Linked DNA regions of Drosophila melanogaster. The protein of the gene in region 1 purifies or fractionates together with the protein of each later gene. This does not show direct contact. Each region holds a gene or a part of one and is shown on either strand. Other genes may lie near its edges.

Region 1 (3,796 bases):
TTTATACAAATCTTAGGCTATCTCGCTCACACACACACACACTCATTCGGCTCAGATCGAAAAATTCTTTTGCTGTTGCTGCGTTGTCTTCTCTCTTTTCTCTCGGTGTGTGGTTGTTGTTGCTCTGCCCTGTGTTGTGTTCTCCAAATTTTACTCCGAATCTATCAATCGAATTAGGTATCACGCACTCCTATTTTCAAATCATAACGCCGACTGCTTCCAATAAATAAACACTGTATTTATTTGTGTTTTTGTAATTTAAAACGCAAAAGTACAACCCAACACACACGGATGTTCGAGTTACAGCCAGTGTGACCGCGCCAGAGTGAGAACAATATGCAGAATAGGTTTTAAATATACCAAGAAAATACCATTGAACACTTTCGTATGTGATGTGCGCACTTGGGGTATTCCTAAAACTGAAGGTAAACAAAATGTATTTAAAAACAGCGATGATTTTTACATATTATTTGTTGTTCATTATAACATACAGTGTAAGCTGTCAAGAAACAGAACATAATAAAAACCAAAGACCGTGTAAAAAAGGAAAAACAAACCCAAAAAAGGCTTCTATTGAAAGCCTTGGGATGAGAATGTTTAAAACTAAATGTTTATTTAAAAATTAAAATCTAAACGGCTGGCTTCTTCGGCAGCGATCCAAAGGCGGAAATGACAGTGCCCTTGGTGCCCGTAACCGTGGTGGTTAGAGCCGGAAGAGTGGTCTTAACAACGGTTGACGAAGGTGCCGGTTGATCCCACTTGGATTTGCTGCAGGACGAAGTCGAATTAACAAATGAATTCAATAAATACAGTAGATTAAATGCATGCTTACCGCTTTTTGGCCTCCTCCTCGACTTTCCGGGCCAACGCAGTGGCCTGCTCCACCTTGTCCATGTCCTTGCGATCTTTCTGCCGCTTCACCATCTCCGTTTTCTGGACCGCCGCCAAGGACTCGTAATAGGACTCCTCGCCCCACTGCAAAGGATCATAGATCTCGGGCGGATAGTTGGTACCGAACTCGTTGATGTCGCAAAAGCTTATTAGTTTGTCATATATGCTGGGATTGCGAAATTCCTTGCGATCCTGTATTACGCGATTCATGTCCATATTGGTCTGGTTCATCTTTGTGTACATTTTAGTGATTTTGGCCACTAATTCGGCGGACGGCTTCCCCTTTGGCTCGGGTGGCAGCTGGAACTTGTACTTGGCGTACTTGGCATCCTTTTCGTAGCTCTCAGCCGTGCGTTCTTCGACCGGGAAACATGCCGGCTCCTCGTCCACCTCCATGGGCGTGTCCCCGTCCTTGGAACCACTACCAGCATTGCTTTTATCCTTGGCTTTGGGACTGTCTTCGCTCTGGGAATTGGAACTATTGCTCTCGTCGCCACTGCTGGACTCCTCTTCACTAGAGGACGCTGCGGCGCGGTCCTCGTCCTCGTCAGAAATCAGGGTGTCATCCTGGTAGCTCACCAACCGACGCACCTTCTTGGCCCGCTTCTTTTTCTTCTCCTTAGATCGCTTGCTTTCTTCGTCCTGTTTGGTGGGCGTCGGCGTGGGTCGCTTGGGCGGTATGATTACCTGGGTATTGAGAAATGCATTTAGTGAGATTATAAGATTTCGACTAAAGTTAAGGTGAAACTAAACCAGGGACGCCGTGGAGTTTTGTGAATCCGGACTAGCATCGCCCTCGTTCTCGGAATCCGTGTACTGGGCAGTCAAGCTGGCCAGGGCAGCCATTTAATTGGATGTATTTAAAACTTAGATGACTACAACTTATTTTAAGAAATTGTTTTTAATTTGTCGAAAACGCAACTGTTTTATTTTTCTATAACATGTGAACCAGGGATTCAGTAAATATTATTTGGTATTTTTGGGGTAAAGTAAAGTGCGATCTAAAAAATGTTGCCGTTTCAAACATTTAGTAGCTATGCTTTGATATTGATAGCTTTAAATAAAATTAAACATATCTTTAAAATAAAATTAATAAAGGAGATATTACATCTGTTCATTTAGGTCTTAAGTATTTTTCAAACTTATGTTTACTTTTCGCGCACCTGGCCACTCTCAACTGTTTAAGATGAGCTCGACGCAGGAAAAACCGGAGGAGCTGGACAGGATCCAGAAGAGGGTCAACAAGATCCTTGAGGCTCGCCTGGAGTCGGACAAGGTCAGTGCCCAATTTACCCAAGCTTGGCCAATAGCGAATAACCGCGTTACGGTTCCAGGACACATTGGATGCTCTGAGTGGTCTGTCCACTTTCTTCACGGAGAATACGCTGCAGAATCGCAGGAATCTGCGTAGCCAGATCGAACACCGCTCCGTGGGCATCAACGAGAACTTTCTGAAGGCCTTCCGCCAGGTGAAGCTCTCGCTGGATGCCGTGTGCGAAGATCTGGACACGATGGCCACGTCAGTAGAGACGATGAAATCGGATCTGGAGACCTCAAAGGCGCTCACCAAGGATCTGATCAAGCAGACCAACACCATGCAGCGGGAGAGGGACCGCTTGGAGGTGCATAAGCAGATTGCGCAAGCTTTTCTGGCTCGTTTTCAGCTAAGCGGAGCCGAGCACCAGTTACTATATGGCGCTGCCAAAGATGCACCCATTGTGGCGGACTTCTTTCGCGTATTGGACAGAGTACAAAGCATTCACGCTGACTGCCGGCTGCTGATGCAGTGTGGATACCAAACAGCAGCCATCGACATCATGGAGGAGATGACATTGCATCAGGAGGGCGCTCTGGAAAGGCTCTACCGATGGACTCAGAACCACTGTCGCAGTTTGGAAAACAACGAAATAGGTCCGCTGATTGTGGAAGCCATGAGCCGGCTGCAGGACCGTCCGGTGCTATTCAAGTGTGTCCATTTTGTGGACTTTCCTGTAGCATTTATAAAAGTAATTCCTTTGCAGATACGTCATTGACGAATACGCCATTGCGAGAAGAGCGGTTTTGGTGCGTCAGTTCATTGAGGCCTTGACGGAAGGGGGTCCTGGAGGGAACCCCAAGCCCATTGAGCTGCATGCCCACGATCCGAAGAGATATATTGGCGATATGTTTGCGTGGCTGCATCAGAGCATTCCCACCGAAAAGGAGAACCTATCTTTGCTGTTCAAAAAGTGCGATAAGCAGGGTAAGATAAGAAAATGCATACATTATGGCACCAAAATAGTGCTCTTCGTTTTGCAATAGATATTTCCGACCAGCTGCAGAACGCTTTGGGCTACATAGCCGATGGAGTTTGTCATCCTCTAAAGGTTCGAGTGGAGACGATACTGCAGGCGGAGAAGGACACTATTGTGTTGTTTACCATTTCCAATCTGTTACGCTTCTACCAGCAAATAATGCGCCAGGTGGTGCAGGGCGGCAGCCTGGAGGAGTGTTTGGTGGAGCTTCAGAAGAGCAGTGAGCAGATCTACCTGGGCGCCTTGGCTGCCCAGGTGAGAAGTGTTTTGCAGCGTCCCTCTGGAGGATCGGGCCTGGCCTTGGAACCGCCGCAAAGGGATCTTGTACCGCCGCCAAGCGTGGCACGTTTGCTAAATATGCTCAAAGAGATTCTTTCGGTGGCCACCATGGTCGATGGCCGGCAGGCCGACATAACAAAGATCGTGAGCTGCGTGATAGATCCGCTGCTGCAGTCCGTGCAAGAAAGTGCTGCCCATCTGCCCACCGTGGACATGGGTGTGTACCTTTTGAACTGTCTGCATCACATGCAAAGCTCGCTGGCTGTCTACGAATATATGGATGAGCGCGTGGAGCGGCTGCAGGCGCAGTCGGATGCCCAGTTGGACACACT
Region 2 (5,009 bases), on another chromosome or scaffold:
CTCCAACGATACATCCTTTAGGCACACGCGGCAGACGCGCTCCGCGTCCACGGTGTCCATTGTGGTCAGGGGCTCTAACTGGGAAACCAACTTGCTGACCGCCGGCTCAGTTTGCGCCTCCTGGCACGAACCCAACTCCAGCTGCGGCTGCGGCTGTGGCGTTGCCATGGCTGTTGCGCGTCCTTCGATCTTTGCTATTGCATGTGGGCATCGACAATTAGCACAATTGCTGCTGAATTTTCATAATTTTTCTTTTATTTTAACAATACGAAGCGTTTGTTGTGCTCGCGAGTGCCGTCATACTGGGTGCGCCATTTGTTGTGTTACCGAGTTCGGCCACACTGCGTAAATATCGATATTTTTCATGTTGCCGATAGCTTTTTTAAACCAGATTTGCATTTTACAAACATTTTCTAAACATTAAATAAATATATAAAGAAATTCAAAAATAATTGTAAAATCACAATATTTGGAGTGTTTATTTATTTTCTCCAACCTTAATAGCTCAACAAATTAAACGCTCTCGAAAAGATTATCAAGGTAATTATTATTTACAAGATGCGATAGTTAACTAAGGAATGTCATTTTAAGGTTTCAATTTCTTTTCCAGCACCCGCGTCCACAATCAATGTCAACTGCCCTTTGGTCGGATTCACCCACGCAGCGGGAAACTTCTTGTCCAGATCGACAAACACACTCTAAAAAATATAATAACAACAAAAATAAACCTTACAAATGAAGTTTTTGAATTGTGGTTAAAAATATCAGATTTCTTGCTCATATTCTTTTCCATCTTATCAAGCTAAAGAGACCTCACCTTGACGACACTGGCTTTTGCGGCGCCCGTAACCACGAAGGCGACATTCCGTGCCTTATTGATCAGCGGCAGGGTGAAAGTGATCCGCTCGGGAGGCGGCTTGGGCGAGTTCCGGATGGGGATAACCAGGCGCTTGGTCTCCTGCAGGGTGGCTGGCTGCTCGGGAAAGAGGGAGCAGGTGTGGCCATCGGGTCCCATGCCAAGCAGCAGCAGATCGAAGCGATCGACTTGACTTTTGACCTTCGCCTCGTAATCTGCGGCGCAGGCGTCCAGCGGTTGGCTGGTATCGGCGCGGACGAACTGGGATTCCTGGATGCAGGGCAATTGGGTTAGCCACTCGGCCCTGTAGGCACCATAGGTGGAATCGCTGTCATCCAGGCGAACATACCGCTCGTCACAGAAGAAAAACACCCATTTGGCCGTTTTTAAGTTGCACGATTTCAGGGCTTTCGTTAGCAACTGGACGAGGGAACCACCTGTAAGCGAAACAAGACACTTGACTTTGGGAGCACAAGTTTAAAGATCGCACCTGGCAAGGTCACCCCTCAAGTTTGGCTTATCACAAGCCAACCCACTTGACCTGCATGACCTGTGCGTTGATCCTTACCCGAAAGTCCCACGCTGAACTTATCATGTTTGGCCAGCGCCTCCTGGGAGCAGCGCTGGAGAAGATCGCCCAGGGCCTGGACAAGTTGCTCCTCCGAAGCGGACGGGATTACTTTTAGCGCACCCTTTTTCTCCGACATATTGCTTGATCTGATAATAAAACTCGACTCGACTTCGATTTGTCAGTAATCACCATTCCCTCTCTCAACTATCGATTACCAATTTATGAAATACATTGCACCGTTTGCGACAAAATGAAAGTAAGTAAATCTTATACGAAAACATTTCACTACCTCTATTCGTAAAATAACAACTTATTTGATATTGAGCAAAAAAGGAGTGTGTACGTGTGTGCTACAACTATATAATATTTAAAGTAAGAATGAGGTAACTCTCTTCAAAACAGTCCAATAAAATAATATTGCATTCTAAAGTTTAACTGCAACAAAACAAAAAATAGCCAATAATCTTTAGATTTATCGCGGTTGTTCTGCGCTAGAGTGTCATCACTGATTACGACCTGTGCGATAGTTGGCCCGCCATCATCGATAGACCTGTCAGAAATTAAGAAAACAATATCAACATCAAGCGAATATACTTCGCTCGCTACATATTTCTAGTTAGTTTTCGTAACTTTTTCGCTTTGGTGGCAATTAAATCAAATTTCCTCGAAGAATAACTTGTAAAAAGGTCGCAAACATCCGTCCAGTTTCTGCCAACCATCGGCCACTGGCTATCGAAAGAAGATCGCTAGTGAATTAAATTTCACAAAATTGCGTTGTACTTTGGCCGTGGAAATTTGCCAAAAAACAGCAGCTACTTTGCTGCTATATTAGCAAATAGGTTCAGGAAGTCGAGAAAAATTTTTCCAGAAGTTGGCAGCAGTTTGTGTGAATGCAAAAAATACATCGCACATAGTTTTTTGCCCTCAAGACAGTTTTCTCAGTAATAACAACAGCACCCACACAAACACACAACACCACTCAGCTAAAAACGTGCTGAAATTCGCATATCTTTTTGTTGCATACGTTTTTGAGTGAATATTAGTAAGATGCCCAAACGCGGCGGTGGCAGTAGCCAGCGGTACAACAACAACGTTGGAAATGGCGGCGGACGTTACAACGCTCCCGAGGATTTCGATGATTTTGGTCAGTACACGGGAGTGCAAGAAAATGAACCCTCCAGTAACCTAAATATAATGTATTCCTATAGATGTGGAGGATCGCCAGCGACGCAAGGATCGAAACAAGCGGCGCGTCAGCTTTAAGCCCTCCCAATGTCTACATAACAAAAAGGACATCAAGCTGCGACCCGAAGATTTGCGTCGATGGGACGAGGATGATGACATGAGCGACATGACCACGGCCGTTAAGGTGCCCACCAACCCCACATGTTATCCCTATGCACATTTCTAATCTAATGTATAATTAATTCCAACAGGATAGACCCACCTCCCGACGTCGGGGATCGCCCATTCCGCGCGGCAAGTTCGGCAAACTGATGCCCAACAGCTTTGGCTGGTACCAAGTCACGGTGAGTTTGGACTACCATGTCATATAGATATCATAGCCGCAATGGCCCAGACCAAAATCATGTGATTTAATAGTAGTTTTATTACTAAGCTAAAGAAGCAAAAGCATTCAGTCCTCCAGCACCTGTTAGATTTATAACGTTCGCCATTATACAAATTAATCGACTGTTCTACTGGATGGCTCTTCTTATGCGAAGTACATATATGTTAAATGTAGTTTTAAGTATTTAGATTACTAACGTCACATAAAACTTCCAGAAGTTTGCTCCAGTGCTCTACTAATTTCCCGCCCCTACATAGAACTACAAACCCCAGACTGGTCCATATAGATACCAGATTTACGACAGCAGTCATAGAACTATTTTTGGTCTCCAAGAACATCATGTGATTCGTCTGATGGCTTTTTTTTTTTGTTATTGGCAAAAGATCGCGTTGAGGGAGCAAAGTATCCGGCAAGAATCGCATAAGTTACAGCGAAATGTTGAGACTTATTTGTTTATTTGTACACTGCTTCCAAAGCTCCAATGCCGACTTGCCGACTGGGCTCTTTGTGTTTATTAATTAATTTCCCTCGTAAAAATCGTAAAGCAAACAAGCCAAAGTTGGGCCGGGGGGATACCAGCTCTACACAGCTAACGACAATCGGGTACTACAATTACAATTGCAATCCGACGAGCGGGCAAATAAATATTTATGGATGGCTAAACACAGTCGTCCACAGTACCAGCCACAAGTGTTTGTCGGCACGAGCTAAAAGTGCAATGAAGTCGAGCCTTTGGTGGTTTGACAGTTGCCATGACCCTCACCTAAATGGTTTCCCATTTTAAGGGCTTGCGGGCCTGCGGTTGGGTTATCCTTCGCCTGGTTGTCACCCTATCCAGCCGCACGTGGTGCAACACAACAGGTCGCTATCTCTCGACGGGGTCGTAAATGCCATAGTAAAATGCCCAATGCTGACTCTCCACCAACAAAAGCTTGCGGTTTCATTCCGTTTGGGCCTTTATTTCATCGACGGCCGGCAGACGGTGAAGACGTGTTCCAACGTCCGACGCCCCATAGAATATATCGCTTGAATCTCAAGAGGCCCGATTAGGGGCAACTTATCAGTTTGGAGTGATTAGATGTGCGACTAGGGTTCCGTCGGGAAAATCAGCCTAACACGTGCCCCACTTAAAACCCGGCATCTGCAATGGCTACTTTGGGCGCCTGGGACTACACGATCCTGGCGGTGGTGCTGATCATCTCCGTTGCGATTGGCATCTACTACCGTTTCGTGGGCGGCAAGCAGAGCACCACCACCGAATATCTTCTGGCGGATCGTTCCATGAACGTGGCGCCTGTGGCCTTTAGCCTGATGGCCAGTTTCATGTCGGCCGTCACCATATTGGGCGTATCCATGGAGAACTACCAGTACGGTACAATGTTCGTCGTGATCAATCTGTCGTATGTGTTGTCCACGCCGGTGGCCGCCTACCTCATCATTCCGGTCTTCTATCGCCTAAAGACGGCCAGTGTGTACGAGTATCTGGAACTGCGGTTTGGCTATGCCACCCGATTGGCCGCCTCGCTGAGCTTCTCGCTCCAGATGGTCCTATACATGGGCATTGTGGTCTATGCGCCGGCTCTGGCCCTGGAAGCTGTCACTGGACTGAGCCAGGTCTTCTCCATCGTAATTGTTGGAGTCGTGTGCACGTTCTATGCGACGCTCGGCGGAATGAAGGCCGTACTCATCACGGACATCTATCAGTCGCTCCTCATGTTCGCCGCTGTCTTCAGTGTAATCATCTGTGCCTGGGTGAAGGCGGGCAGCTTGGAGGTGATATGGCGCGTGGCGCAGGAAAACGGACGCATCAATCTGACCAACTTCAGTGTGGATCCAACGGAACGTCACACTTGGTTCACCCAGATTTTAGGCGGATGTGCCACCTATTTGGCCATCTATGGTGTGAATCAAACGCAGGTCCAGCGCCTGATGGCGGTGAAGAGTTTGAGTGCCGCTCGAGCGGCCCTGTGGTGGTGCCTGCCCATTCTGTGCCTGCTTAGTCTGAGCACCTG

The links. Proteins that work in one complex are often made in the same cells at the same time.
Region 2: the proteins of CG2063 (region 1) and sbr purify together in Drosophila melanogaster (affinity purification with western blotting, with the first as the bait; one study listed by BioGRID). This does not show direct contact.

The regions. Positions count from the first base shown.
Region 1 is NT_033778.4:9,284,771-9,288,566, forward strand, and holds CG2063 (uncharacterized protein), read right to left. Parts: upstream 1,865-3,796; 5' UTR 1,738-1,864; coding exon 1,645-1,737; intron 1,579-1,644; coding exon 833-1,578; intron 825-832; exon of another isoform or gene 769-824; coding exon 630-768; 3' UTR 540-629; downstream 1-539. Other genes in the region: Cog6 (component of oligomeric golgi complex 6), read left to right, coding at 2,078-2,167, 2,226-2,857, 2,913-3,133, 3,193-3,796.
Region 2 is NC_004354.4:10,844,054-10,849,062, reverse strand, and holds the start of sbr (small bristles), read left to right. Parts: upstream 1-1,970; 5' UTR 1,971-2,474; coding exon 2,475-2,571; intron 2,572-2,635; coding exon 2,636-2,796; intron 2,797-2,863; coding exon 2,864-2,956; intron 2,957-3,981; exon of another isoform or gene 3,982-4,143; coding exon of another isoform or gene 4,144-5,009. Other genes in the region: CG2202 (uncharacterized protein), read right to left, coding at 1-168; Pgls (6-phosphogluconolactonase), read right to left, coding at 582-698, 818-1,293, 1,425-1,563; CG32669 (uncharacterized protein), read left to right, coding at 4,144-5,009. UniProt on the Drosophila melanogaster protein: Mediates the export of the majority of mRNAs from the nucleus to the cytoplasm. In ovarian follicle cells, plays a role in transposable element silencing regulation by enabling the nuclear export of flamenco (flam) transcripts and subsequent piRNA biogenesis.